Bombyx mori: one gene and its partners. The protein of the gene in region 6 purifies or fractionates together with the protein of the main gene of each other region. This does not show direct contact. Links are inferred from orthologs where the notes say so. Each region holds a gene or a part of one and is shown on either strand. Other genes may lie near its edges.

Region 1 (4,247 bases), on a different chromosome or scaffold from region 6:
TCTTTACTTTTTGCTTATCACTAAGTTAACATAGTTCCAACTAATTCGAACTGTTGGTTTGCAATTTGTTTTGTTGCTTCTGACTGGCGCTAAAACTCAATTTATGAGTATGGTTGGTACTTGAGTCTGTCATGCATATTTATTGCTTGATATCATGTGGTGTACAGGTTCTAATTATTTTATCATCTCAGAAATTGTAATATTATCAATATCACACACTATGGCATGGAAATATTTAAACTGGTGACAAAGCTTGCTGATAAATTTTTTCTTAGTATTGATTCTAAGAACAATGTAAATATATCAATCATCAATTTATTTTCTATTTTTAATAGGTGGAGATCAAGCACCCAAAAACAGCCCATCCTCTGACAAAGATAGTACAAATGGGAGATCACCACCAGATGCCACACTAAATAATCACGTTCCTGAACATATAAATCACAATTCACCAACTCTTAGTCCCACACCTTATCCAAATAAAGGCCTAATATTGCAGTCGTTGAATTATATACAAATGGACGCATTTAGCTCATTTTTCCCCAAAAATAATACTGAATATGAGAAAGAAAGAGATGAAGATAAATTTACAAGAAATAGGAGGGAGCCAGCTGTACTCTCTGGTATTTTGCATAATATCGAGAATAATTTTAGAAGTTTATTTTGAGGATTTTACAGTATAAATTACACATTGTACTTGCATTAAAATGTTGAAATGACCACTAGAATGTTAAATAATTTGTTGCAAAATTGTTGTTGACCATAACTAATTTGCAATAAATTGCTTTAAAACAGGAGCCTTCTGTGTGACAAGTTATAAAGTAGACTTTTCTCAGTTAAAAGTTACGTAATTTTAACTATATAAAATTATCTACAGTTATAAAAGTATTGGTTTTTCAAATGTGCACACAATATTCATATTGTAACTAAGTATTCTATTGTTAAGTAATGTTCTACAAATATCTGTTTTAAAAGCAAAAATTTTGAACTTATAATAGAATTAAAATAGTATGTGTTTTCAACAGAAATATATTATTTAATGCTTTTAAGTATAATGTCTCTAGTCACAATTTAATTTGTAGAGGAAGCTTATATTCTTTTAACTAGATCAATGATACTTATTTAAATAGGTATTAAAAATGTTATTAATTATATTTTTTTTTTAATTATTCCAACCATTCAGTCATATAATTACAAACTTGTGGAGTAATTAGTCCTGAGGAATTACATCTTTGAATCAAGGGGCATATTCCACATGGCACTTGAACAAGGCCTGAAGATGGTATAAGAGTTTCTATAGCTCTATATACATTACTTCCATCGGGAAACACACTTTTTTCTACCTTCCCATCATACACTAGGGTGTTTAAAATTGTTGTTACATCATCAACATCTAATACAACCTGTAAAAGAAAAGTAACACTAACAAAACGTTGATGTAATAATAAACATCATATAAGTAGATATAAATGAAACATTAATTAATTAAATCTACATGGTATTTTAAAATGTTCGCTGACCAAGTTAGTGTATTGTGGTAGGACCTCTTATGAGTCCACGCGGGTGGGTACCACCACCCTGCCTGTTTCTGCCGTGAAGCAGTAATGCGTTTCGGTTTGAAGGGTGGGGCAGCCGTCGTTACTATACTTGAGACCTTAGAACTTGTATCTCTAGGTGGGTGGCGCATTTACGTTGTGGATATCTATGGGCTCCAGTAACCACTTAACACCAGGTGGGCTGTGAGCTCGTCTATCCATCTAAGCAATAAAAAAAAAAAAAAAAGTTAGTGTATGTTTGTAAAATCTTACTTTACTAATTCCCAGATCAGTAATATATTTTTGGACTTCAGTAGCAGTAGCATAAGCTTGTGTTCGTCCAAAAACAGGTCCCCTAGGATTGTTTCTCATATTATCAGCTCTTTGACTCAAGAACCTGTGGCATTGTACATTGAGGACATCTACAAACTCGGATTCAAAGTCTTGGTCTTGGTACCAAGCTCCCCCTGTCAATGATCTATCTGGTTCCAAGTTGTAAAGCATATAAACCTTCTTTTTAGAGGCCTGTGAATTAACCAGGTTTAAATTGTAAGTTAAGTATCAGATAGATCTTCGTTGATTTAAAATTAAATTTACTTACATTAACACATTTCACAGCTTTTATCACTTTTTTACTTTCCAAATTTTTGAGGACTTTAGTCAGTTGAGTGTTTGCAAGATTCGAACGGATCCTAATATCTCTAATCCAAATTCCTTTATTTCCTGCTTCTTCAATCAGATTATAGACTACCTTTTCTTCATTATCTGCTCCTTTGATTGCGTGCTTATTTGTTTGAGTTTTCAACCTAAAATGAATAAAATTTAATAATATTATTATTATTAATATTATTTCAAGTTCTTTGAAAATTCTTCTCTAAATCTTCCAATTCTTCTCTAAAAATTCTATAAATAGACTATATTTATTAGTTACGCTAATATCTTTAGACACCTTCATTATTTTGCTAACGTACTTATAAATTAAAGATCCGTTTTGATTAAATAAATCAAAACGTTCTTGTTTCAGCAGATCATTTAAAGCAGTTACTAGTTCTACTGATGATATGCCAGGTATTTCAGCAATTATATCCTTGTCTGTAATTCCTTTCGAGCTTTTTCTTGCAAGATTTAGTATTTTCTCTTTTGTATCTTCGGAACTCATTTTTGGAAAATATTAAGCGTTTGTGTATTAGATTTATTAGAATATGCTTTGGGGCTTGGGCTAAACCATGGAGTTAATAAGTACCTTAGTTAGAATAGTAACTCTATGGGCTAAACAAATATATATATTTTTTAAGGGATTTTATGACCTGGTAACTAAGACCTTTAAGTCATGTCTTATTTTAATTTATATTCATATTTTTATGAAAAATGATATTATGGAGTGAAATGAAATAAAGATGATTAATTTGAGACATTAATCAACTGGGATGAAATTAAATGAAATGAGATGAGATGATATGGGATGAAATATAATCTCAGTAAAATGGAGGTCATTTACTGAGACTTTTTCAGTGGACTTTTTGGAGGATCCCGAGAAGTTACGTTCAGCGGCTTTGTTTCATTTTCCCACATTTGTGCAATTTCACAGATACTAAGCAGTTAATAAGCCTGAAGAAACACTAAATAAACAAAATAAAACAATACACACAACTTCACTCCTCGCGTTCCCGCCAAAAAATTAATTTCAATCAGCCACCTTGGCTGAAGTTTTTACTCCTTTTTCACAAAAATGTAGTTTTGTGACTCTTTGATAAGACACGCCTCACCAAATCATTACTGACGCAGGATTATGACTACGTTGTTCCTTTGATCACTTGAGCAGAACACTTCTTTATAGCACTTCTTCAGAACGGTGTGCATACCCTAAATTATACTATCACTTTGCTTATTGTAGTGTTCTTCAATCGTGAAAATTGTTTTATTGGTAAAGAGGATATTTCTGTGCCATTCACCTGCACACAAGACGTTTGGATCGATCCACTCTCTTTAATTGTAAAGATCGATTTAGGTCATGTTATGTACATCGAGGATAAGCACTGAACTTCAGGTCTTGTTTTATAATCTGCGACAGTCCTAGCGGGAATCATCATTTTTCGCTGTTGCGACGAATTCTGGCTTTAACAGCATTAGTAGCCTTTGTAGCTCTAGCACCACGAGGCCGCCCCGACCTTCTCTGGTCTTCGACAGACAAAGTGTTTTTGTATCTGTTCATAGTACAATTTACGAACATACGGCTGATACCAAGCTTTTGAAGTGTCTGGAATATGACCGACGGCTCCATATCCACTTTGTGTAAGGCGATTACTGCAAACCTATTTTCTTTAACACCCTATTCCATATTGTAATTTGATAATGAACACGAAAAAATATGTGAAATGGCGCAAAATCGAAAGAAGTTGAGGGAGTTCATATAGAGTCTTTCTTTCGCCGTAAAGTCGTGTTTTATGTAATTAACACCACAGTTGAAACAATATAAATTTTATTGATGTAGCGGCATAAACAATTCTAGCTAATTATATTATATTAGTTATTTTACACATTATAAATTGTTTTTACGTTTTAAATATTTGGCGGTAAAAAAAAGGTCCCGTGTCACAGACTATATTCTGTTTCCCACCTCTCGTGCGTTCCGGCTTACGCATCATAAAAAGGTGCGTACTTAAACGCCACAAAGTTTTTAAAATAATATACGTGTTCCAAATTCAAAATCAT
Region 2 (4,066 bases), on a different chromosome or scaffold from region 6:
GAGCCAACGCGCGGCCGCGTTATCGCAGGTGACGCCGGGCTGCTGCGCCGGCAGTCCGCCACAAAGCCTCGTACTGATCGCGCGTTTCTCTCATTATTGTATTTTCATATATTTGTTAGTCGTTTGTTTTGTGTCTCGTTAATTTGTTAATAATCTGTAGTGTATCGTGTTGTCGTAATATAGAACTATTTCTCGTATTGTTTCGTTTAATTTTTTATATCCAGTAAACTCCAGTCGTGCGTCGGAGCGGACACACACACTTTTTTCATTTCTTTCTGTTTCGATTTACATAAAACAGACACGACTTCACTTACTGTAACAAAAATTAGGATTGTATGGTCTTTGATCCTTTTGCCCAGCGAGTTGTCAATTCAAACAAGTAAAAACCTCTATTTATTTTCCAATACGGTACGGTACCGTACCGTAAAATGGGGCGATTAGGGACAAATTCCAACTTTATGAGCAATTTTAAGGTAGTTGTTGATGTATATAATGCTATATCAGGATCAAAATGATTGAGTCTTGGGGGCATCTTTGTTGTCTAATTTAAAATTATGCAACTAGCATTCCAGTTTAAGCAAAAAATGCAAAAATAGGTGTAATCTCTATTTACCCGAAAATTGCGGTTAATTGGGATGTAATGAGAAATTTGCTAGGGTTGGCACTATTTTTATTTTTATATATAGTTTTAATTTATTTATTTATTTAGTTGCACCAACAAAGTGATCATCAATAAAAAAAAATGAAAAACTGACAAAAGTACATGGCAGACATCACCTCAATTATAGGTGCAATCGACAGTGCTGATATTTCTATCTGGGTTAAGAGATTAGGTGTGTCGGTTATTCCATGGATTAATCAGATGAATACCCCCACTCTGAACAAATATTAAATATTTTATTATGTATTACTTAGACATTTTTGTCCACCTTGAGATTTCATTGATCTTGTTACATGTCTCTGCAAAATCGACTTACTTATATTAAATTGCTTATCTATTTCAAATAAAGACTTATTCCCAATTTCGCTTCGAATAAACCAGATATTTACCAACAAATTCAAAAAATATTGTTATAACTACATAGACAACCCTACAAACCTGTACCTATTTATACTTAGGTCGTTTCCATTTCACGTATTCTCATCCCAATTGACCCCTTTTTCGTTGTTATTTGTACCTAAGACGTCCCCAATAACCCCAAAAACAACAGATTTTTACATGTATTTTTATTTAATCAAATACATTAAAAGCAATAACAACTGAGACTTACCTTTAATATATATGCTGGTTCAAACACTAAATAACGTTTATAAATCATAGTCGTCTTCTATTATTATCAAATAAATAAAAGAGAGCAAAGTTTCTAGCACTAAAATAATGACCACCACAGGAAGTTAATTTGAAACGCGATTTTTTATAAGTTAGCAGCTATTATCATGCATATTCAGAGTTGTTTTGTGAACTTTCAACATTCTACTATTAAACTACAAAAAATGGAAGATTTTGCAACGAATATAAAACTTATATTGAGCGTCGAAAGATTTTCCCGGTTTTTTCCCGATTCGCCTGTCAATCCCTAATCGCCCCATTTTACCGGTACCGTACCTATGTACCTACATAAGTACAAACTTACATTACTTACTACATAGTCAAAGTTTAAATTACCTACTAAAAATTACTTAAAATCACTACTTAAGTGTATAATCTATGATCACTACCTTACGTAAAATCATCGAAATATTTAATTTTGTCAATTATATCTGTATAAAAATATGCGACAAACTTTATATACAGTAAACGTTACTGTATACCTGTGAAATAAGATAAAACCTTATTTACATTAATTAGTAAAATATTGCAAAAATGCCTAAATTCGATGAAAAACCCCGAGTTTTTCTTGAAGAATTCCGTGTTAAGGTTCTCCTTTAAATTGCAAGACTTATTTACAACGATAAAAATGCACATGATCATAACCTAATAATTTTTGCCCGTACAGAATGCACCCGAAGATTACGGATTAGACGATGAAACATGGGACTTCAAAAAGTTTGTGAAGAAGTTTAAGATAGTTGTAGTACGAATGGACAATTTCGAAATGGAATTTGACTTGATTGGGATCCAGCCAGCATTTGCGAACGCATTCCGGAGACTCATGTTAAGTGAAGTTCCTAGTATGGCTATTGAAAAAGTAATGATCAAGAACAACACTTCTATAATACAGGATGAAGTTTTAGCACACAGATTAGGATTGATTCCTCTCAAAGCTGATCCAAGATTGTTTGAATATAAATCTGAAGGTTTGTGTACAAATTATTACAAAGCCGAGACCATATGTGGGCATTCGTTTTGGAAGATGATTGTTTTCTGTGAAATTGGTTGTCTAATTATTTTTTATTTATCAATTACGTAAACTAGTACACTAATAAAACCACAAATATTCATTTTTCTAGTATCCTAAAATTGACAATTTAGAGCTGGAATGCAAGATGTTATTAAATACTCACTTTTATACCTCAATAAACATTTATATCTCATAATCAGTAAAGTTTTCACAGCCTAAAGGATAAGATGCCTGGTCCATTTTTATTATTGTAACTATGATGAAATAAAAAAAGTTAACAGAAAATAAAAGAATTGTTTGAGCAGCTCTTGTAAATAATTTGAAATTTTATTTTCAGAAGACACGGAAGGAACAGAATTCAACACTTTAGAATTTTCACTAAAAGTAAAATGTACCAATAGCAAGTCACAACCAAAAGATTCATATAGAGCTGAAGATTTGTATGAAAATCATAGTAGTGAGTTTTCTGTATATCAATATAATAATGTGTAACAAACAGCCTATTAATGTTTTTAATATAACAGTAGATCGCAGATCAGCATATGGCCCTGGTATTAAGCTTGCTGCAGTGCATAGATATAGGTGATTCACTCACATTAAGATATGGGATTGAAGTTTCCATTCCATAGCAAAACAGCTATCCTTACAAACTGGATTCCTTTGCAGTAGAAATGGACAAGATAAATTATGACTACCAATACCAAACTTATAGAATGTTACTGCCATTTTCTGGTAAATTTTTTAGCCACCTGTAACAACACCATGGTAAGATATAGAGTGGTATTGTTGTATGCTGATAGGACAGAACACAGAGCTGATTTTTTGAACTATGGACTAATCTATGAAATTTATATTTATAGTTTTTTTATATAATGCTAGATGATTTTGTTATTCTTAATACTTAGTTAATTACAAATATGTTTATACAGTTTATTCATCCCATATGAAGTGGCATCCAATTGGCAACCAAGCTACAGTTTATAAAGAAGCTGATGTGGGTCCTGTACATAAGGATATTCTTATATCAAAAATGAGACCTGGCCATGAAATAGACCTTCAAATGATTGCCGTGAAGGGCATAGGAAAGGATCATGCAAAATTTTCACCTGTTGGTTAGTCCCTTCTTATGAATATTTTATAAAATGAGATAAGCTTATTTTAATTATTAAAAAAAATGGTTTAACTAACATATCCATTTTATTCTACAGCAACAGCTACATACAGATTGCTGCCAGAGGTAACACTGACTCGTGAAGTTTGTGACAGTGAAGCCACACTGTTGCAGAGTTGTTTCTCACCAGGTGTTATTGGTATTGACTCTAAAAACCGAGCATATGTGAAAGATGCAAGATATGATGCATGTAGTCGTAATGTTTATAGATATGACACAATCAAAGATTCAGCAATCCTAAGTAGAGTTCGGGATCATTTCATATGTAAGTAGCCATATGTAAATTAATGAAATCATAAAAATGCCACAAATAATTACATGTGCAACAGTTTTTTTGCTATCAATGCTGGTTACCTCAAGGGGGTCTAGCTTCACCTAACGTGTAGGTAAGCTTACAGGCTCAGTCTGGCGAATTTGCTAACACTAGCCCTAGCAAGGGCAGTGCTTCTCAGAATCTACCACTGGATCGGAATCGCGACCCAGTGAGATGATCTGGTGAGAAACTAAGTGGGCTGTGTCTAAGGTTTAATTTACAAACCCAAAAATCTAAAAA
Region 3 (4,085 bases), on a different chromosome or scaffold from region 6:
AATAGGGTGACACTCTACAAAACTTGCGTACGCCCTGATATGACCTATGCAAGCGCAGTGTTCGCTCACGCGGCCCGCACTAGCTTAAAATCATTCCAAGTTATTCAATCCCGTTTTTGCAGGATAGCCGTCGGAGCTCCACGACGACCTGGACTTAGAGTCCATCAGTAAGTATCTTCAGTCGGCGTCAATGCGCCACTTCGATAAAGCGGCACGACACGAGAACCCTCTCATCGTGGCCGTCGGTAACTACAATCCCGATCCTGCGGTGAGAATGGAAAGCTGTCGACGTCGCCCCAAACACGTCATTTCGGATCCTCCCGATCCACTAACAGTGCTTTTAAGTACCTCAAGCACCGGTCATCGTTCTCGTCGAACCCGTCATCGTTCTCGTCGAACCCGTCGCTTGCGACGAAGGGCTCGACGAATAAAGTAACCCTCAGACACAGCCCACTGAGTTTCTCGTCGGTTCTTCTCAATGGGTCGCGTTTCCGATCAGGTGGTAGATTCTGCGAAGCACGGCTCTTGCTAGGGTTTGTGTTAACAACATCATCCGGCTTGAGCCCCGTGAGCTCACCTACTAGTTAAGGCGACACTGATATAGCCTCTCAAGGCTATCAGCATAGGTAGGAAAAAAATAATCTAATCATACTTACTTGGCGTAGGGATACGGTGATCATGCAGGCGGTTTCCCCCAGGGTGAGGCTGCTCCATTGCACTATGGAGTGGTTGACCCTTGCGATAATTTTTATTTTTTAAAGGTTTCACTTCTACCGTGTGTGACTTGCACACACGTCACACATACATTTTTTTTTTCTTATCTAAGCTGGGTATTACGGATAAAATGTTCCTACCTATAGTCCTAACCTTGCACCTTCAGACTTCCACCTGTTTCGATCTCTTCAGAATTTTTTAGGCATTGTCAGGTTAACATCACGAGAGGACTGCCAAAACCAATTGTCGCGGTATTTTGATCGGAAGCCCCATAGCAATGGGATCATGTCCCTACCTACAAGATGGCAAAAAGTTATCGAACAAAATGGTACCTACATACTTTAGTTAAATGTAAATAAACAATATTAAAAAATGTGAATTTTCTTAAAAAATGCGAAGAAACTTTTTCCCCAACTATTGTACTATTAGAACTTAGTAGTTTAAATTTTATTAGTAATAGACAAAGACTTTAATGCTTTTAATCTAAGGATTAGGATATTATCAAAATACGTCCCAAAAATGCTTTTTAAATATAATAGATGCTTTTCAGGAGTTGGTTGTCATGACTCAAACTTATCTCAAGTGTTTCACAAACTATGGTCACAATTTATTTGAGGGTAAAGATTTTCTTGTGAAGTAATAAAAAAAAAAATTGCCTAAAAGGTAAAGTAGCCAGCGTTCGCAAAAAAAAAACTGACATGTACATTAATGTACATAACCTAATCCGTGTATTCGATAAAAACTAGTTAATTTGAGTTTTTGTTAATTTAAAATACATTTACATGTTCTTTTATTTTTAAAACTTTCAGTAAACCGTGATTATTTTTACTTTTCAAAGAGAGTTAAATTGATTACTCTTTTTTTAAAACTATATAAAAAAAAATCCTAAAATTTTGATTTCCATTTCCCCTACCTACCTAGAGTAAAATGGCTAAAAATACATCAAAAGTAGGAAAAAAAACGAATGAGGAAATCTTTGCTGGTTTCCAAACTCTTCGTAATGAACAACGTCAATTAGGGAGTAAAATATCAGAATTACAAATGGAGTTAAACGAACATAAGTGAGTAAATGTGGAATAAATCTATTGCATATCAATCTACTGCTTAAAAAAATACAAAATACATAGTAAATTATGTCTACAGGATCGTAATTGAGACTTTGCGGGGAGTGGAGTTGACCCGTAAGTGTTTCCGGATGTTTGGGGGCGTGCTTGTCGAACGCACCGTAGCTGAGGTGTTGCCAGAGCTGATCAGCAATTATGAACAGCTACCTAAGGCCATCCAGTCCCTAGAAGACCAACTCACTCAGAAGGGAGAGGAGATCAATAAATACATTGAGGAACATGATATTCGCATCCAACGTGCTGATCGCACCATGCCTGAACCACCTCCAGAGCAATCCACCTCTACCAAGTCTAATGTGCTAGTTGCTAGCGGTTAACTATACTGATCCTTTCATTTCATATAGCTGTCGCAGTGTATTGACAGTGAGACTAGTCCTACATTTGCCTAAAGCAGTGTGAGGTAGTACTGGGAAACTTTTTATTATTAACAATACTATTACGGTGTGGCTTGATAAATTAGTTCTGGCTGATGTTTAGGGGCAAGGGGGGCAAACATGGTATTATGAAGCAGTACTTTATGAATATGATGACAAGAAAAGGAAAATCTAACTGAATATCCATCTCAACCAGATAAATAAATCATTTTAGTGTGACAATACTCCAAGACACTTAACCACATATTTAAAGAAAGGAATACTACAGCGAAAACTCCACAGAGAATAATTAATTCCCCAGCTGAATGTGCTCAAATAATGTGGAATTAAACTCAATAAACAGTTTTTTCAGGCAGTAGAATATGAACCCTTGTCTAGTGGAAAGTAGTATGATAATAAACTTTAATAATAAAATAGATCTTGAACAACTTTTCAACACTTTTCATGGAATATGTAATACAAATGCAGAGAAGCAGTCTCTTTGTCCCAACAATTATGAGAATAGCTTCATTTAAGAAGTCAAGACAATATGGAGTTTTTTGTTGTTGTCCTCACCATTCTTTAACAATGTCTAAGGTGACAGTGATATATTTCTAATCAAAAACAATAAGCTTTGAATGTTTAAACTCTAAACATTAGAGTAATATATGAGAGAAAAATAATTTAAATAGTAAAATGTTTTCCACATTGTGCTATATGTATATTCCCAATGCTGTCACAGCATCTGAAGCTCACCTATGCAGAGTCAATGTGATTGGTAGGCAACTGTAATAAGTAGAAATATCACTGAAACCTTGAGAGTATTGTTTAACTGTGTACATAGCTTTAAGGTTTACTGCTATTTTGAAGTGTTTGGCCAGTTAACAAGCCTGAATGCCTGAATTTTTCATTTGCCCTTGCCCAGACGAGCATACGGCTCACCATTGCCAGGGGTAGAGCCAACTTACTGCCAACAATTTGAATGATATACTATACGCATGTCCGAGTTCAGAGATGAACTATGGCAATCAGGTAATAACTTTGTGTAAAAAGTCTCAACTGAAAAGTTAATAAGTTTGGATAATTTATTACTTGCACCATACTCTAAGTGAGCATGGTTAGATTATTACCTTATTTCTATGGACAACTATACAATATAATTAAAACTTCCTATACTCTTAGCAGGATGGTGACATTCATAATGTTGTCAGAGGTCTGATAAAATTTTAATACCAGGTGGGATGTCACAATAAAACAGTGACAACTTTTTCTGTTTCATCAGGTGAATTTTAATATGATTATAAAACATGATCATGGCTAGATTCATATTTGGTTTTAATTTTTGGAACCTTAAAATTTATTGTTACTTAAAATAAAAATAGCCAGGAATAACAAGAAACTTTATTTTATAATATAGAAAAGAATAACTAAACAAAAAAAAGTGTACTAATATTTATTTCATGTAAAGTAATTTTGTATAAAATATATTTCTGAAAAATTCATTTTTGTAGTTTGGACTTGTAAGGGTCTGACGACTAATCTCCAATACTGTTGATACCACAGAGGATAACAAACAATTGGCATGCAAGTCCTTTCGTTGACATGTTTATTGTAATCCAAACTTTACATTTAGTCGGGCCCTGCCTTCTTACCTCCATGTATCAGGTGGGGTATTAGAAACCACAGTGGATGGATTTAGGTTTTTTTACAATGTTTCCACTTAAAATAGTTCTGAGTGTTGTGCTGGCGAACTATGGCGTCTAGTGGAGCCGCACGGCGGGCGCCACTAACATCCATTTTATTCCAAGAAGCAGTTACGTTCAGGTAAGGTGGAACCTTCAAAAGCAATTGAGATTTCGAACTCATATTTCTAGGAACGAAATGAAGTAGAATG
Region 4 (4,298 bases), on a different chromosome or scaffold from region 6:
TTTAGTGCTAGAAACTTTGCTCTCTTTTATTTATTTTATAATAATAGAAGACGACTGTAATTTATAAACGCAATTTACTGTTTGAACCATCCATATATTAAAACCATATATTAAAGGTAAGTCTCAGTTGTTATTGGTTTTAATGTATTTGATAAAATAAAAATACATGTAAAAATCTGTTGTTTTTGGGGATATCGGGGACGTCTCAGGTACAAATAACAACGAAAAAGGGGTCAATTGGGATGAGAATAAATGAAATGGAAACGACCTAAGTATAAATAGGCACAGGTTTGTAGGGCTATCTATGTAGTTATAACAATATTTTTTAAATTTGTTGGTAAGAATCTGGTTTATTCATGATGTTTTTGTCTACAACTTTTATTCAAAATTATCAATACAGTGTTATTTTATTGTTTGGCAAATATTTATATATCAGTTACGCGTTGTTTTCTATTTTTAGATATGCCTCGCGTGTACGTATCAAAGAGTGCAAATCCTTATAAAAGATATGATCCCTTAATATAAAAAATTATACAGAATAGAAGGCTATGAAATTAGGAATAAGTCTTTAGTTAAAATAGCTAAGCAATTTAACATAAGTCGGTTTTGCACAGACTTGTGACAAGAACAATGAAATCTCATGGTGGACAAAAATGTCTAAGTAATACATAATAAAATATTTTAATATTTGTCCAAAGTGGGGGTATCCACTTGATAAATCCATGGAATAACGGAAACAACTAAGCTCTTCAGATAAAAATATCTGCCCTTAAGTACTTACTAAGAACTAAGAAATATAAACCGCTTATAAGAAAGCCCGCTCGTTCGCATTTAGGTGCTTACCCTCTCTTAAACAGAATCGTTTGGGACTACAATAATGTCCACGGTAGCGCGGTCTCCTTTAATGTTCATTCGGAGTTGTCCGATTGCGCTGAACTAGCTTTAAGTGATGAAATAGATGTTTTTTCTAATTGTCTCACAACTTACAGGAAAAATCTGTCGCGGATATTTTTCCAAGTAAATATAAGTAATTATTAATTAATCATAAGTAATTAAATCTAATCAAGTTTTAGTTATATATTTTATATTTTTGTTATCAATGCACTGTCGATTGCACCTATGATTGAGGTGACATCTGCCATGTACTTTTGTCAGTTTTTCAATGTTTTTTATTGATGATCACTTTGTTGGTGCAACTAAATAAATAAATTAAAACCAAGGAGTGCCAGCCCTAGCAAATTTCTCTATTAACACTAATTTCGTCCCCAATAATCGCAATTTCTGGGTAAATAGGGATAACACCTATTTTTGCTTAAACTGGAATGCTCATTACATAGCTTTAAATTGGATAACAAAGATACCCTTAAGACTCAATCATTTTGGTGCCGATATAGCATTTTAAACATCAACAACTACCATAACATTGTTCATCAAGTTGGAATTTGTCCCTAATCACCCCATTTTACCGGTATACCTACGTTTTAAATGTCAATTGTCACTATTGTCAGTGTCAAAATCTCACCATTGCGAGCTGTTGTATAAAAAAACGATTTGAAAAGTTATTAGCTGGAAAATAAGGGCTGTACATGCACTAGGATTTTATATATTTGACTATAACAGTAATACAATTTACAGAACACGTCTTGAAGTTCAAAATTCAAAAAAGATAAAGAGGCGATAAGAAAACAGGCAGCTATGCAAAGATAACCTATTCGTTCTAACAAAAAATATAAACCGTGTTAACAACTCATGTTTTAGATCTAAACAAAAAAACAATGCGTTACGCTCAGTTAATAGTGGGACCAGCCGGAAGTGGAAAGGTATAATATTTTAGTACCTTTTTTTTTTTTTTTTTTTTTTATTGCTTAGCTGTGTGGACGAGCTCACAGCCCACCTGATGTTAAGTGGTTACTGGAGCCCATAGACATCTACAACGTAAATGCGCCACACACCTTGAGATATAGTTCTAAGGTCTCAGTATAGTCACAACGGCTGCCCCACCCTTCAAACCGAAACGCATTACTGCTTCACGGCAGAAATAGGCGGGGCGGTGGTACCTACCCGTGCGGACTCACAAGAGGTCCTACCACCAGTAATTACGCAAATTATAATTTTGCGGGTTTCTTTACGTATGCATTTTTTCTATGAAAAACTTTTTTTTTTATTTACTAAAAAACGAAGAAACTTAAGTACGTTAAACATCTTTAATCATCTTTTGATAGAAAATACAAAAATGTAATGCATGTTCCTTAATCAAATCATTAATACTTATATGGTAAAATTCTAATATATAAAATTACCCTATTTGTCAGTCAACATACTGCTCTACAATAGTGAAACATGCAATGGACTCCAAACGCATTGTAGATGTAGTAAACTTGGACCCAGCAGCTGAACACTTTGACTATGAGCCACTCGTAGACATCAGAGAACTAATACACCTTGATGATGCTATGGAAGATGAGGAATTGCAATTTGGACCAAATGGTGGTCTAGTGTTTTGTATAGAGTGAGTGTTTTGTATTGTTATTGTAATTCACTGAAACCCACAATCACCACAAAGTAAATACTGTTAAGCCTTTGGCATTATGAGCACAGGTGACTTACCCTTCAGTATGTATGATGATTTTAAGTAAAGTTTTACTATTAATTTTCTTATTTTAATAGGTAATTACATAGGCCTTAATTTATGTTAGGAGGGCAATGAGATGGTAATTGATAGTTGCAACAGTAAATGTATTATTGAATATTTTTTTATTGCTTAGATGGGTGGATGATCTCACAGCCCACCTGGTGTTAAATGGTTACTGGAGCCATAGACATCTACAACGTAAATGCAAAACCCACCTTGAGATATAAGTTCTAAGGTCTCAAGTATAGTTACAACGGCTGCCCCACCCTTCAAACCGAAACGCATTACTGTTTCGCGGCAGAAATAGGCAGGGTGGTGGTACCTACCCGCGCGGACTCACTAGAGGTCCTACCACCAGTTATAATAATGCTGTTGGTGTAAGTAATAATGGTGCTTACTGTTACTTTGCCACAGAAAAAAATGTACAAAAATTGTAGGCTGATAGAAATTGGCCAGTAATAACCTGAAACAATATTTACAATTTCAGGACCCTCTTAGAGAATTCTGACTGGTTAGAGGAGCAACTTGGAGATGTTGATGATGATTACATTTTATTTGACTGTCCAGGACAGATTGAGTTGTACACCCATCTGCCGGTTATGAGAAGATTGGTTGATTTGCTTCAGAATTGGAACTTTAGGATATGTGTAGTGTTCTTAGTGGACTCGCAGTTCATGATTGATGGTGCAAAATTTTTATCAGGTTAGATAAATTTTATTGCTAATTTGTGTGGAATGAGCAGGGATCATGAAAGTTTTGAGATTGTCTTAATTTAATGAACTAAAAAATATGGAAGTTAATGCTTTGACAGTGGAAATGTGTGTCTCATCAGAGGCCAAGATCATTTTTGAGGAGTGAGACATCTTACTATTGTTCATAGACAATTTCACATAAGCATTACCAGCAGCAAGTAAACCTGTCAAACATAAATAGAACATAAGTACATATTTATGCACACTTAATAATGCTCCTTGATAAGACAACCTCCCAAATCATTACTAACGCAGGGTGATGACGACGTTGTACCCTGTGAGCATACACTTTATCATTTTGCTTACTGTAGTGTTCTTCAATCGTGAATTTTTTTCATTGGAAAAGTGAATATTTGTGTGCCTTTCAGCTGCGTATCGCAACAGAAGGCGTTTTGATCGATCACTCTCTTTGATTGTAAAGATTGATTAAGGGCATGTCTTGTATATCGACGATATGCACCGAGCTTCAGGTCTTGTTTTATAATACGCGACAGAGTCCTAGCGGGAATATTCATTTCTCGCGATAAGATTTTTTCGTCCTAGTGGGGTTTCGACGAATGCTGGCTTTAACAGCATTAACAGCCTTTGTAGTTCCAACAGTACACGGCCGCCCCGATCTTTTCTGGTCTTCGACAGACGAAGTTTGTTGTATCTGTTCATAGTACGGTATACGACCATACGGCTGATAGCAGGCTTTTAAAGTGTCTGGAATATGACCAACAGCTCCATACCCACTTTATGCAAGGCGATCACTGATTCTATTTTCTGTAACACCCCATTCCATAAGGTAATTTTATAATGAGCGAAAAAATATGTGAAATGGCGCAAAATCGAAAGGAGTTTAAAAAATAATAAACGTGTTCCAAATTCAAAATACATAAAAAAAACTTGAAAAAAAGAAATGTTTTAGTGTT
Region 5 (4,146 bases), about 4.7 Mb from region 6:
ACGGCGAGCAGGAGTTTCTCGTAGAGCAGCTGCGGGGTGGGGTAGGGCGGCAGGTCGAGGCGGTTGAAGCAGGTGTGCGCTCGCGGCAGGGACTCGACGCGTCCCCAGCGCTCCACGCAGAAGCGTCGCGGGCCCGTCGAGCCGCGCAGCGCCGCGAACCCTTCGTACGGGATGGACGACGTGCCCGTCACGAACTGCACGAGCCTCAGCCGCTGCTCGTTTGTGAACCTGAAGGAAATATCGTATTTATTTATTTATACTTTTATTTCAGTTTTTTTTTTTAAACCATATCATCACTGTCACTACATAGTATAAAACCAAGTCGCTTTCTCTGTCCCTATGTATGCTTAAACAACGGATTTTGATGCGGTTTTTTTTAACAGGTAGTGATTGAAGAGGAAGGTTTTATATGTATAATATCCATTAAATAGTGGAGAAATCAATAATAAATTACAGTTTCCGAAGCGAAACGAGGGCGGGTCGCCAGTTTTGTTAATAAGAATTACTTATAATCTATATTAGTAACTTAAAAAATCTAACACGTAATTATCATTACATACATTTTATATCGTTACATTTGTTTTTTTGTCCAATACATTTAATACTATATCCTCATATTAAAAAAAGAGGATACAAATACAAATTTTGACAAGCACACTGAGTTTGTTTCGCTGATATATTATCTCAGGGTTATGCTTCTTTTAGAAACCGACGTTTCAATGTATTGAAGTTACGAGAATGTAATTATTATTTTACATTTTTGTCGCAGCGTTAATTTTAGAAGAATGAAAACGGGATGCCTCGCCGCATCCTGTTCGACTTTGCACTATTTTTAGAACATTTGAGTAGAAAAAATGTTTTCCTTTGAAAAAAATTCAGAGAGAGAAATTCATTAACCATGGATCAGATTACCGTTAGGACCAAATAAATGAATAAAAAAATGTATAATGATATTGTATTCATTTTTAATATGTATACTTCACTCAACATTTATGTTGTAATTTGAATTTCAATTTTGAAATCACTATCAAATTACCACATCGTAACCAACGACTTATCGTTGCTTGGAAATTGACAAATCACAAATATATAAATAATATTTGTAATTTATTTTAATTTACTTAACGTATTTGTCACTGATATTGCAATAGACCTTATCTTCGGCGCGCCATAAGGCATCATTTTTAATGTCATTTCAATCAGTCCGGTGTGTAGCATTACATGACCATAACTCTTGTAAGATCTTACGGGAAGCGCTTTGCTTACGGAAGTCGGTGTCTGTGCCGCGACCGGCGGTATCCACTTACCCACGAGAAGACTGTATCAGTGGCGGATTAAAAGTCCAGAGCGCCATAGGAAATCAATTTATCGGCGCCTTTATATAATACTATAAATTTTAGCTATTTGTTTTTACAATTACGATGACGTTGTATCATCAAACCCTAGACTTTAGTAGACCAGGACCTTTGTACTTACGCTCATACGCGAATGAAATACAAACAAACCCGCAATATTGCAAAATACGAGTATATCGATGCTTGTGCAATATAATCTATTATAGATTTAGATTATAGATCAGCATTTAGTTCTTAATCGTCGATATGTTATTTTCATTATTTATTTAAAAATTCTGAGCTCGCGCGCCCCTTGTAACTACACGCCCCTAGACACGTGCCTAGTTTGCCTTACGGATAATTCGCCTCTGGGCTGCACGTGCGTTTGACTTCGACTGTTATACCAAGAAAAGTCATAATGAGGCTGATCAGTGTGCTTAGTGCGAGTTTTTTAACGTTCTCGATAGCGTAAAAGTTAGCTCATATTTGTATCGAATGGGATCGTTTGCGTACGTTTGCCGCTAGGGGCGCTGTTCCAACTGCATACAAAATTGGGTTAACTTTTACGCTATCGAGAACGTTAAAAAACTCGCACTGAGCGCGCTGAACAGCGCGTACCTGTCGATGGCCTGCCAGAACCAGAGTATGACTGGGTGCGCGTCGTGGTAGCCGCCGCGGTAGTCCGTGTGGTTCCTCCAGTCGGCGACGTCCAGCTCGGGCGCGCCGGCTATCACGAGCTCGAGCTCGCGGGCGTCGAACGCGGCCACCAGCCGAGGGTCCACCACCTGCGCGGAACACTGCGTTCAATACGAGCGACGAATGATGACGATATAGGCCTGACTATTCTTTATAGGCTCTAAAATTCATATAAATTTGAATTTGGAAACGATGTACATGACAACCCACAGACACAGCCCACTGAGTTTCTTGCCGGAACTTCTTAGTGGGTCGCGTTTCAGATCCAAGTACGGCTCTTGCTAGGGTTCGTGTTAGCAACGTCATCAGGTTTGAGCCCCGTGAGCTCACCTACTAGTTAAGGCGACGCTGAGGCCTCTCAAGGCTATCAGCTTAGGTAAGAAAAAAAATGTACATGCGCAAGTAATAAATGCTAGCCTCCTCCTCCGTGCGTCGTGTTCCTCAGTGCTAAGGATCGTGACCTTTACGGAATACATACGTAAGGTTTACTTGGGAAAATTGCTAGTGGTGGGTTCCCGCGTCCTTCCACAGCAGAATTTCAGAGGGGATTTAGTTCCTCTGAGCTACTGAAGCCCTAGTTCAGGTTAGTTGACCGCCGCCCGTTGCTCGGCGTTATATTTTTACGTTAGTACCATTAAAAGTACCTTTTTAAAAATGAAAACAGAAGCGATATTATTTGTGTGATGACATATAATTTTTCGCAGTACATACAATTATAAAAGACGAATAAGAGGTATTGTGTAAATCTCGTATCTCTCTCTCTCTCTCTCAACACAATAATGGCGGTGATGTCACGAACTTTGTGCAATAATTTTGTAACAAACAACTAACATTTTATTTACAAAGTTTCTAACATTAAAGCTACATTAAAATTTTATCACCTTACATTTGCAGACGAGCTCAGGGACTATCTGAATAAGTGATTACCGGTGTTCCCTTCAAACTGCGCGGTAACGTTGTGTATAATTCTAATATAAAATAACATACAATATTTAGAGGAATTTTTATCAGTTGGAATACAAAAGATTGGAAGGGATGATTGGGAAGTCGTAGCTTAAACAAAAGCAAACCGCTTTGGCAAAAGACAGCGGGAAATTTGCATAAAGATGCTTCGAGAAGATTAAGAATATTTGTCTTGGAACGATGAACTTTCCAGTTCATGCTGGACTTGGGTCTAGAGCAGTCACAACGCATCCGTGGGTCCCAGTCAACTGGTCGATCACATATACCCATATCCTCTCTCTCATAAATTGTAGAATTTTTATCGCATAAGAGTCACTGACGTCTACAATAGGCAACCAGATTGACAGTTCCTATTTTTAGAAATCTCCGCTCAAACTTGATATAACACACCTAACCTAACGCGACCCACCACGTGCAACTTGATTAGAGGTCAGAATAAGTGACGAGCTTACCATATACACAAAAACAATGATTAGCCACAAATGACGTCATGCGTTGTGATCGATGTCAGAAAATATTGGAATTATTCAATTTTACTCCTAAAACTTTAATTATTAATATTAATTATACGAAACTAGTGATTGTATCATAGTTTTAATTTAATTAACATTCGTAAACTAGTTTATAGATGGCTTTTTTATTACTGACATTTATATTGTAACATTTCGAACAACCCATTTTTATAAGTTCATCAAATGTGTATAATAACGTGTCATCGCACTTTTTCGAATATTTGTAACGTACGTCTGAAGCTACAGATAACATTTACGGCACTATATATATATATATTATATTATCGTTTAGTATCATTATGTAAATTTGATGTTGTAAAATCGTATCTACCTCAACCGTGGCCTTGTGAAGGAACTAAGTTTGTAAGGTGCATTTAGATTGTTGCGTGCGTGAAATTTTAGCTTATATACTAAGTTGGTATTACGTTGTCGTCGCTGTGCCCGTGAAACCAGATCAATACTCCTCCTATATAGTCTTCGAAATCGGAGCCAAAAAGTCGGATTACGATTACTCTACGCTATCTATCCTTTAGTTTTGATTACAGATACGGCGAACGTTAAAACCCGACCTGTTGTCTCTGACGTTCAGAAAGGTCTGTGTGTTTAAGGGAGCTTTGCCCACTGAGTTTCTCGCCGGATCT
Region 6 (4,086 bases):
TTTTTTTTTTATGATTGAGAGATTACTGGTGGCCCGAAGGCCTTTCCAGTTTCACCAGGACAGGTGGGCGAGCAAAGGCTCAGCCAGGAGGGGTGGGATTTGCTAACAGCTGCCCGAGCGCCTCCGAAGGAGACCTAACAACTCAAGAGCAATTGCTTCGCGAATGAATCTACTACCGGATCGGAATCGCGACCCGCTGAGAAGATCCGGTGAGAAGCTCAGCGGGCTGATGCATGGGCTAGGTTGCACGTCGACCTCTTTGTCGAGTTCGACGAGTACGGTTACTGGGGTCCCTAAGCCTGCTCCTAGTATTAGAGCTGAAGGCATCTAATGCAAAGGTTATTGGATCTGATGGATCCGTAAGGACGTGTCTAGGGCGTCGACGGTGACTGGCTCCTGCATGATCAGGATTCGGTGAGTAGTCAGCGGCGGCAACGATAAGGCGATTATCATGACGCATATCCTTATCGAAGTACCGTTCCGACGCTGACTTCATGTATTTCTGGATTGATTCAAGGCCCAGGTCGTCGTGTATTGTCCGAACCGTACCGAGAATTACCGAATTTATACGATGTCAAGAAAAGGGATGTCCAATATGCGTGTTTGAGGATGTTCTTTAATAAAAATAAAGTTTAACTTCTTACGCGCGTACATAAGTACACGCACCCTTTTTTTTTTGTTTATTTAGAGTTTCTTCAGGTTTAAGCGCCTTATTCACGATCCATCACGACTGTACGTCAGCTCAAGGCCGCAATTAATAATAATTATCGACGTACGTCAAGCCTATTCATGATCCTTTTGCATCGTGCATCGTGCATGGCCTTGGCGGGACGTACAGCAAGATGGATCGTGAATAAGGCGCTTTAAATAGGTAATCGGTGGTTTATTAACTGTCTATTATCTGTGAAAGTGCATAAATGTGGGAAAATGAAACAAAGCTGCTGAACGTAACTTCTCGGGATCCTCGAAAATCCACTGAAAAAGTCTCAGTAAATGACCACCGTTTTACTGAGATTATATTTCATCCCATATCACCTCATCTCATTTTATTTCGTTTTAATTTCATTTCATTTCATGCCATGTTTTATATTAATCGACTTTATTTCATTTCATAATATTATTTTTCATTTACCTAAAAAAACTTTTCATTAAAATTAAAATAAGACTTGACCTTGACTTGGTTTTAGTTACCAGGTCATAAAATCCCTTAAAAAAAGTATAGATGGATTTAAAAATTATTTATGGGCACGCTGTATGGGCTTAGATCCCCTTGCCTTTCTTAAAGGAAAAATTGTACCAAAAAAATATCTATGAGTTTAAAGTTTGTAATTAAATGTGCAGAATTGTGCTCGTGTTTGTTCGTTGTTAAAAATTGCACTTATTGTTTACATATGTACTCATCTGATTTGTTCCATTCTATAAAACAATTCCAAGATTCCATCGCTTGGTAAATACGGACAATATGATTTACTGCCGAAGATAGTTCAATATTACAATAGCTTATTTAATTTACATGATGGGCGAACTTAATAAAAAACAAAATGAGTGGGATACCAAAGGATTACGGGACCCTGTCAAAACCCTTGAGGTACTAGCTTTATTACTTTTCTGAATTACTACTATTGTTTTGATACACAATTGAAAAAAAAATACACGAACTATAATATTACTACTAACCAAACAACAAAATCATATAACTGTCTTTAAGATTTTGTTCATTCATTGATATTTAATCACTCCAAAGTTCAATTGTATAGTAACAAAAGTTGTAAGTGACAATATACAGTTGAGTTCAAAACCCTACCAAAGTATGATCATAATTATTTGAATAATAAAATGTATGAATTTTATAGAATAACATCATAAAAATCTTAGAAAAAAATAGTACAATTTACTGACGTCCTGATTTTATCTTAAATTTCTAATATTTCAGCTTAACACTGTTCATATGAATGTTTTCTTTCAGGATAAATGGAAATTAGTGCCTTCATTTCTTCAAGTTAAAGGTTTGGTGAAACAGCACATAGATTCATTTAATTACTTCATAAATGTGGAGATAAAGAAGATAGTACAGGCTAATGAAAAAGTATTTTGTGAATCTGATCCACTGTTCTATATTAAATATTTAAATGCCTATGTTGGTACACCTGACTTGGAAGAAGGGTTCAATATCACTAAGCCAACGACACCTCATGAATGTCGTCTTAGAGATATAACATACTCAGCTCCTATAACTGTTGATATAGAATATATTAGAGGAAACCAGAGGGTGATCAAAAATAAACAACTGATTGGAAGGTAACATCTTAAATAAATGAAGAAATGCATATTCTAATACTAGCAGATGTAATGTTGCTTGATCTATTACTATATCTTGATCTTACTCACTAAAAAGCAGAACATTCCAGGCTTTAAAAAATTCTGTATTATACATATCAAATGAATTTAACATTCTGTACTCCCAATTGAAAATATCCTATCTTAAAAACAATTCAATGAAAAGCTCGACAGAGAAATTATGTTTTATTGTTTGTCCACCCCACCCAATGTAACTCAGTTAAAAATTGATTGACTTATGGGCTGCAACTATTGATGATGTAGGAATTTAAGTAGTTCATCATCTGCCTTTTACCTATCTTCACGACACATGTCTGTCAAAGTATTAATAAAGTAGTCAAAGTAAAAACAGTTTTTGTGTCAATATCAAAGTAATAGTATCACAAATTTTTAACATGTTAATGATTCCTTTAATTACTTTAACATTAGGTCTTTGCTTATGAAGTTTAACAATACTGGCCATTTGAAATGTAATTAAATTATATACCTATTATTAACATCACTCTCATATATCATTTTGAAATCTGTATTTTGATTCTTTACAGAATGCCCCTCATGCTTAGGTCTTCAAACTGCGTTCTTACTAATAAATCGGATTTTGAGCTTGCACAGTTAAATGAGTGTCCCCATGATCCTGGAGGCTATTTTATTATAAGAGGTAAGAAACCAATTTAATTTTATACAACTAATATTAAAAAAAAACTCCAATGTATATAAATGTAAAATGTACATAAAATATTTAAATGTGTAATAATTGTAATCATAAAGTTAAATTTTATTAATTTGTTAATCTGGAGTAAAGTACATTGGGAGCCTTATATTTAGTCAGAATAAAAATAAACGAAAATTTAAATAAATATAATATAAAGAAATATAATAAATAAATATAAAGAAAAACTTTAAGTTAAAAATACATAGAATAAAAAATTTGGCAAGACTTAAAGCATAATAACCTAACATTGACCACATTAAGGTTGCATTTCACACTACATTTGGGTTTTTTTTTGTGGTCTAAATGAATGAAATACTGAGTTCTCTGTGAATATACAGTTATGAGCTAGGTTTCTAGACAAAATAATATGGTTTTAATGAAACACATTTATTAACAGTGCTCTAAAACAAAGTTAAAGACAATCAAATTCAAATTATCATTTTAACGATACTGTAAAAATAACTGCGTTTGAACGTTCAAAGAGATGATCTGATTGAGTAGCATAGCCAAAAAATATGCTAAAATTTATCTAAATTTCTAAAAAAAAAAGAAAACAGTTTTGGGATCCGAACACTATTGGTTTTGATTTCAAGAGTGACAATATTTTATTATTCGATCACTATTGCATACAGTTACATGGAGTGAATTCAGTTAGTTTTATATTGGCTTCATGTACGCTTTTTCATTTATGCAGCCCCTTTAATAGAAGTTCAATGGATGTATGGTTTTTAAAATGAAATGTATTTTTGTTTTTATTTTTCCCTGCACGAGTAGTACCTAGCCCCGTACCCGCTTGACCTTGAGTTTCAGGACACCTGTATAAGTACATATATATGTAGTTTACTTGAGTAATGAAAAACAATTTTTATTGTCTGTAGGTCAAGAAAAGGTGATTTTAATTCAAGAGCAACTCTCTAGAAATCGAATGATTGTTGATGAATTCAAAGGAGCAGTACAATGTCAGGTTACAAGTTCCACACATGAGAAGAAAACTAGAACGAATGTGATTCTTAAACATGGAAAATATGTGCTCAGAC
Region 7 (4,295 bases), on a different chromosome or scaffold from region 6:
TCGGTTTGAAGGGTGGGGCAGCCGTTGTAACTATACTGAGAATATAGAACTTATATCTCAAGGTATGTGGCGCATTTATATTGTAGATGTCTATGGGCTCCAGTAACCACTTAACACCAGGTGGGCTGTGGGCTCGTCCACAAACCTAAGCAATAAAAAAAAAAATTGCTTAATTTTTTTATTCTTTCCTATGCTGATAGCCTTGAGAGGCTATATCAGCTTCCCCCTAACGTGTAGTGAGCTCACGGGGCTCAAACCGGAGTGCTGCTAACACTGGCCCTAGCAAGAGCAGTGCTACGCAGAATCTACCACCGGATCGGAAACACGACAGGCTGAGAAGATCCGGCGAGAAACTCAGTGGGCTGTGTCTATGGGTTAATTTGCTCGTCGAGCCCTTCATCGCAAGCGACGGGTTCGACACATTGATAAAAAGGACTCCAATATGTAGGTATAGAACTGAACATATTTTGAAAATTTGTCATCAAATGGACAAATAAAAAAGTAAAATAGACCTTATCACAACTATGCCTAAAGACTTTTTTTACTATGTCACCTAGGAATGTATCCTCTATAATCCGATATATATAAATTACCATTCCATATTCACGGTTTCTGAAGAGCTTTCACTGTACACTCAATTGCATTAAATACAACAATTATTAGTCCAACAATGATTACTTTGCAGTAGTTCCAATGGAATACTTTTCCACTGATATCAGCCAGACTACTTCAGGGACAAGAATATATTTAATTTTTGATACAGGAGCATAAATAGTAACACAAACAGTATATCATTGTTTTTGCTTAACTAAACATAACCTTAACTAAACGTAACCCAGTTGAGTTTGCGTTAAATTTGTAATTGAGAACTAATTAATCATTTGGCAGCTATTTCAAATTAGGAGTTGCTTTTAGTCCTATTGGCTATCTGTAGATTTTCATATCTGGTGGGTACATCAAATCACAAATCGAACACTGTATTCTCATACTAAGGGATGAAATTTGCCAGTGTTCAAATCGCATAGGTAAGTATGAATGGTAGGCAATGAAATATCACAAATGGATAAATTTTGTGAGTTTTTAAATTGATCACAAATGGCCATAGTACACCGGGAGAGTGGGCAGCTCTGTTCGGTTTTCTGATATCCTGCTAAAGGTCACAGGAATCTGCTGGATGCAGGCTCCACAGGACCAGCCATTGAGGTGAGTCATGGGAAAGGTCTGTGTTCTGACGTTTGTGGGCTGACGATGATGACGAAACCCACAAAATTTATGATTTATTTGATTCCAGGTGGTGGTGGTACCTCATATTGTAGGAAGGTGCCACTCTGCCTATGTACAAAACTCATAATACTGTTAAATTGGTTTATATAGACTTTATAACCACATAGATATTACAAGTGTTCATCATCATCACCATCACCATCATCATTAGCCCAAGGCGTCCCCTGCTGGGCATGGGCGTCTCCCAATCCACACCACTGAGCCGTTTTCGGCTCTCATCCACTTCAACATCAAATTGAGGAGCTAATGTGACAGGTAGCTTCATTATAAGGAAAGATTTCCACTGAGGACATGATTTTGCTCGGTAGTTCGACGTTCCGAATATGATCGTTAGGAAATTGTATAATTGCTAACTGCATCTGTAAAATATCTTCTGTTGTACGATACCTGCCGCTACAACACCTTTATGTTAGAACTAACCTGTATACTTTTCCGGACATGACATATTCGAAACTATCTGCTCGATTTCCTTCGGTTTCCAGAGGGTTCCATTCTCCGCCGTCAGGGTATCCGTTTTCCCTCAACGTCGTGGCCAAAACTAGACGAAACTTTTCGCCTAGTTGCATTGGATATATCCAAGAATTAATGTCCAATATTAAATCCATTTTGAATGACTCCGATTCGCAATGCAATCGGCTGACTCTGTCGAACTTTTTGCCCTCCGGATCCATGTCTTTGACGTTGAAAATGTCCTCGAATAGCACGCCCGCCATGATCAAGTTTTATCCTGTGAATTTATTTTACTAAAACAATATCAACAACGGACAGTATGAGAAAGAAGCACGCTGACTCTGTTGCTGTTTGAAATTTTACGGCACTAAAAATACTATATAGGTCTATGTAAAAAAAACATTGATAATAAATGTCAATGTCAAGTGTGACTTTTTTTTGAAGTATAGGTACTGAATATTTGGATACTTTGACGGAATATCTCACACTGAAAAAAAGAATCCCATTTTACCTATATTATATATTTGGACTACTTAGATTTGTTTTTACTAGTTAGTTCCTATTTAAAGTGAGAGTGAAAGAAGTTGATAAGGATTTGGTGGAAGGACAAGATGTTAAATAGTTTTTATTTTTTTGGGTCTACCATAATCTCTGTTGGACTTTAAGCAAATTCCCAACTATGAAATTGATGGATTTCTGTTGGACGGTTAAGATTTTGAGGGGATTGGGTTCTGTCTTTAAATTATTCCATTGTACGTTCCTTGTCGATAATAATATAGTTTTTTGTTACAAAAATTCGGCGGCATAGTTTTAGTTCTCTTTGCCTATCTAATGATAAATAGGCCAAGACAATGTACGAAATTTAGGAGTTGAATAAATGTATATTTCGGTCTACGTTTAAGTTCCATTTTCTCTTTAATATTTTTAGTGTAAGTAGTGACTACGATATTTCGTGGCATTTTTTGGAAATCGTTTTTGTTTTTAAGTGTCAAAAACTAACAAAATATTATTAAAATTATCAATAATAAACGAAAAAGTATAAAACTTCAGTCCAATAAAAATATTACATGTTTATGTTCTGCTTTAAGGTTAAAAAAATTAACAAGTATCCGAATTATTTTCTGTTTTAATGTTGGCACAACGAGCTTTGCACGTTGGCGCCATCTGACCATAATCATACGCAAACAAATCTGAAGCTAACCTCAACCGAATCGCACGTGCTATATGGCCGAGCATTGTGTTATATTTTCAAAGTTCTTTCAATAAACAGTGCCCGATTATAGGGCATTGTTTACCCAAGTGATTGCGTCGATCGCCTAAAATTAAGAGTAAGAAAAGATACGTGTTAATTCATCAAAATGACGGAGGTACTGCAGCCCGGTAACGACACACTTTCAGAGAAGAAAAAGAAAAAAAACAAGGATGGTGTTTCGTTGGGAGCTTTTCAGACAATTGGCGACTTCAAAATCGAACCTTCGGAGAGCGTGAAGAAGCTGGACACCGCTTACTGGCCTTTGTTGTTGAAAAACTTCGATCGCTTAAATGTGCGCACTAACCATTACACGCCGCTACCATTCGGCAACTCGCCTTTAAAACGCCCCATCTCTGATTACGTCAAATCTGGCTTCATCAACGTCGACAAACCGAGCAACCCCAGCTCCCACGAAGTAGTTTCATGGATAAAACGTATTTTAAAAGTCGAAAAGACTGGTCATTCGGGCACGCTCGATCCGAAAGTTACGGGTTGCCTTATCGTTTGCATAGACCGCGCCACGAGACTCGTCAAATCACAACAGAACGCTGGCAAAGAGTATGTAGCCGTTTTCAACTTGCATTCAGCCGTAGAGAATATTCAAAAAGTCACACAGGGCTTGGAGAAGCTGCGTGGAGCTCTATTCCAGAGGCCCCCGCTTATATCGGCCGTGAAGCGACAACTGCGTGTCAGGACGGTGTACGACAGTAAACTCCTGGATTTCGACCAGGACAAGAATATTGGGGTGTTCTGGGTTAGTTGCGAGGCTGGATCGTATATCCGGACGATGTGTGTGCATTTAGGTCTGATGCTTGGCGTCGGAGGTCAGATGATCGAACTCAGACGAGTACGGTCCGGCATTCAGGGCGAGAAGGAAGGCATGGTCACGATGCACGACATCCTAGATGCACAATGGTCGTATGAAAACCACAAAGACGAGACTTATCTTCGTCGAGTAATCAAACCTCTGGAAGGCCTCCTGATTGCTCACAAAAGGATATTTATCAAAGACAGCGCTGTTAATGCTGTTTGCTACGGAGCCAAAGTGCTGTTACCAGGTATTTTAAGATACGAAGACGGCATCGAAGTTGACCAAGAAATCGTAATAGTCACCACTAAAGGTGAGGCAGTAGCGTTGGCCGTTGCTCTGATGACCACGTCTACGATGGCCTCATGCGATCATGGTGTAGCCGCGAAACTCAAGCGTGTCATAATGGAACGAGACACGTACCCCAGAAAATGGGGTCTCGGACCGAAAGCCTCACAGAAAAAAATCCTCATACAACAAGGGAAACTTGACAAATATGGC

The links.
Region 1: the proteins of DNA-directed RNA polymerase III subunit RPC2 (region 6) and DNA-directed RNA polymerase III subunit RPC6 fractionate together in Homo sapiens (co-fractionation; 4 studies listed by BioGRID and IntAct, with this or other methods). This does not show direct contact. The link is inferred for Bombyx mori from reciprocal best matches to the Homo sapiens genes POLR3B and POLR3F.
Region 2: the proteins of DNA-directed RNA polymerase III subunit RPC2 (region 6) and DNA-directed RNA polymerases I and III subunit RPAC1 purify together in Homo sapiens (affinity purification with mass spectrometry; 7 studies listed by BioGRID and IntAct, counting the BioPlex papers as one, with this or other methods). This does not show direct contact. The link is inferred for Bombyx mori from reciprocal best matches to the Homo sapiens genes POLR3B and POLR1C.
Region 3: the proteins of DNA-directed RNA polymerase III subunit RPC2 (region 6) and prefoldin subunit 2 purify together in Homo sapiens (affinity purification with mass spectrometry; 3 studies listed by BioGRID and IntAct, with this or other methods). This does not show direct contact. The link is inferred for Bombyx mori from reciprocal best matches to the Homo sapiens genes POLR3B and PFDN2.
Region 4: the proteins of DNA-directed RNA polymerase III subunit RPC2 (region 6) and GPN-loop GTPase 3 purify together in Homo sapiens (affinity purification with mass spectrometry; 3 studies listed by BioGRID and IntAct, counting the BioPlex papers as one, with this or other methods). This does not show direct contact. The link is inferred for Bombyx mori from reciprocal best matches to the Homo sapiens genes POLR3B and GPN3.
Region 5: the proteins of DNA-directed RNA polymerase III subunit RPC2 (region 6) and calcitonin gene-related peptide-receptor component protein purify together in Homo sapiens (affinity purification with mass spectrometry; 5 studies listed by BioGRID and IntAct, with this or other methods). This does not show direct contact. The link is inferred for Bombyx mori from reciprocal best matches to the Homo sapiens genes POLR3B and CRCP.
Region 7: the proteins of DNA-directed RNA polymerase III subunit RPC2 (region 6) and DNA-directed RNA polymerases I, II, and III subunit RPABC3 purify together in Homo sapiens (affinity purification with mass spectrometry; 5 studies listed by BioGRID and IntAct, with this or other methods). This does not show direct contact. The link is inferred for Bombyx mori from reciprocal best matches to the Homo sapiens genes POLR3B and POLR2H.

Annotation. Positions count from the first base shown.
Region 1 is NC_085131.1:5,845,520-5,849,766, forward strand, and holds the start of DNA-directed RNA polymerase III subunit RPC6, read right to left. Parts: upstream 2,801-4,247; 5' UTR 2,695-2,800; coding exon 2,507-2,694; intron 2,342-2,506; coding exon 2,137-2,341; intron 2,061-2,136; coding exon 1,809-2,060; intron 1,404-1,808; coding exon 1,167-1,403; 3' UTR 668-1,166; coding exon of another isoform or gene 336-667; 3' UTR 1-335. Other genes in the region: putative OPA3-like protein CG13603, read left to right, coding at 336-667. UniProt on the Homo sapiens protein: DNA-dependent RNA polymerase catalyzes the transcription of DNA into RNA using the four ribonucleoside triphosphates as substrates.
Region 2 is NC_085131.1:5,579,017-5,583,082, forward strand, and holds the start of DNA-directed RNA polymerases I and III subunit RPAC1, read left to right. Parts: upstream 1-1,266; 5' UTR 1,267-1,864; coding exon 1,865-1,918; intron 1,919-1,997; coding exon 1,998-2,298; intron 2,299-2,679; coding exon 2,680-2,799; intron 2,800-3,271; coding exon 3,272-3,454; intron 3,455-3,550; coding exon 3,551-3,778; intron 3,779-4,066. UniProt on the Homo sapiens protein: DNA-dependent RNA polymerase catalyzes the transcription of DNA into RNA using the four ribonucleoside triphosphates as substrates.
Region 3 is NC_085129.1:194,080-198,164, forward strand, and holds prefoldin subunit 2, read left to right. Parts: upstream 1-1,285; 5' UTR 1,286-1,641; coding exon 1,642-1,775; intron 1,776-1,857; coding exon 1,858-2,155; 3' UTR 2,156-3,693; downstream 3,694-4,085. UniProt on the Homo sapiens protein: Binds specifically to cytosolic chaperonin (c-CPN) and transfers target proteins to it. Binds to nascent polypeptide chain and promotes folding in an environment in which there are many competing pathways for nonnative proteins.
Region 4 is NC_085122.1:14,098,448-14,102,745, forward strand, and holds the start of GPN-loop GTPase 3, read left to right. Parts: upstream 1-1,498; 5' UTR 1,499-1,775; coding exon 1,776-1,820; intron 1,821-2,312; coding exon 2,313-2,509; intron 2,510-3,119; coding exon 3,120-3,334; intron 3,335-4,298. UniProt on the Homo sapiens protein: Small GTPase required for proper localization of RNA polymerase II (RNAPII). May act at an RNAP assembly step prior to nuclear import.
Region 5 is NC_085116.1:3,015,504-3,019,649, forward strand, and holds the start of calcitonin gene-related peptide-receptor component protein, read right to left. Parts: upstream 2,801-4,146; 5' UTR 2,783-2,800; intron 2,120-2,782; coding exon of another isoform or gene 1,953-2,119; intron 229-1,952; coding exon of another isoform or gene 1-228. Other genes in the region: uncharacterized protein LOC101741169, read right to left, coding at 1-228, 1,953-2,119. UniProt on the Homo sapiens protein: DNA-dependent RNA polymerase catalyzes the transcription of DNA into RNA using the four ribonucleoside triphosphates as substrates.
Region 6 is NC_085116.1:7,720,257-7,724,342, forward strand, and holds the start of DNA-directed RNA polymerase III subunit RPC2, read left to right. Parts: upstream 1-1,286; 5' UTR 1,287-1,513; coding exon 1,514-1,588; intron 1,589-1,966; coding exon 1,967-2,298; intron 2,299-2,882; coding exon 2,883-2,995; intron 2,996-3,927; coding exon 3,928-4,086. UniProt on the Homo sapiens protein: Catalytic core component of RNA polymerase III (Pol III), a DNA-dependent RNA polymerase which synthesizes small non-coding RNAs using the four ribonucleoside triphosphates as substrates.
Region 7 is NC_085130.1:16,021,253-16,025,547, forward strand, and holds the start of DNA-directed RNA polymerases I, II, and III subunit RPABC3, read right to left. Parts: upstream 2,801-4,295; 5' UTR 1,998-2,800; coding exon 1,705-1,997; intron 1-1,704. Other genes in the region: H/ACA ribonucleoprotein complex subunit 4, read left to right, coding at 3,093-4,295. UniProt on the Homo sapiens protein: DNA-dependent RNA polymerase catalyzes the transcription of DNA into RNA using the four ribonucleoside triphosphates as substrates.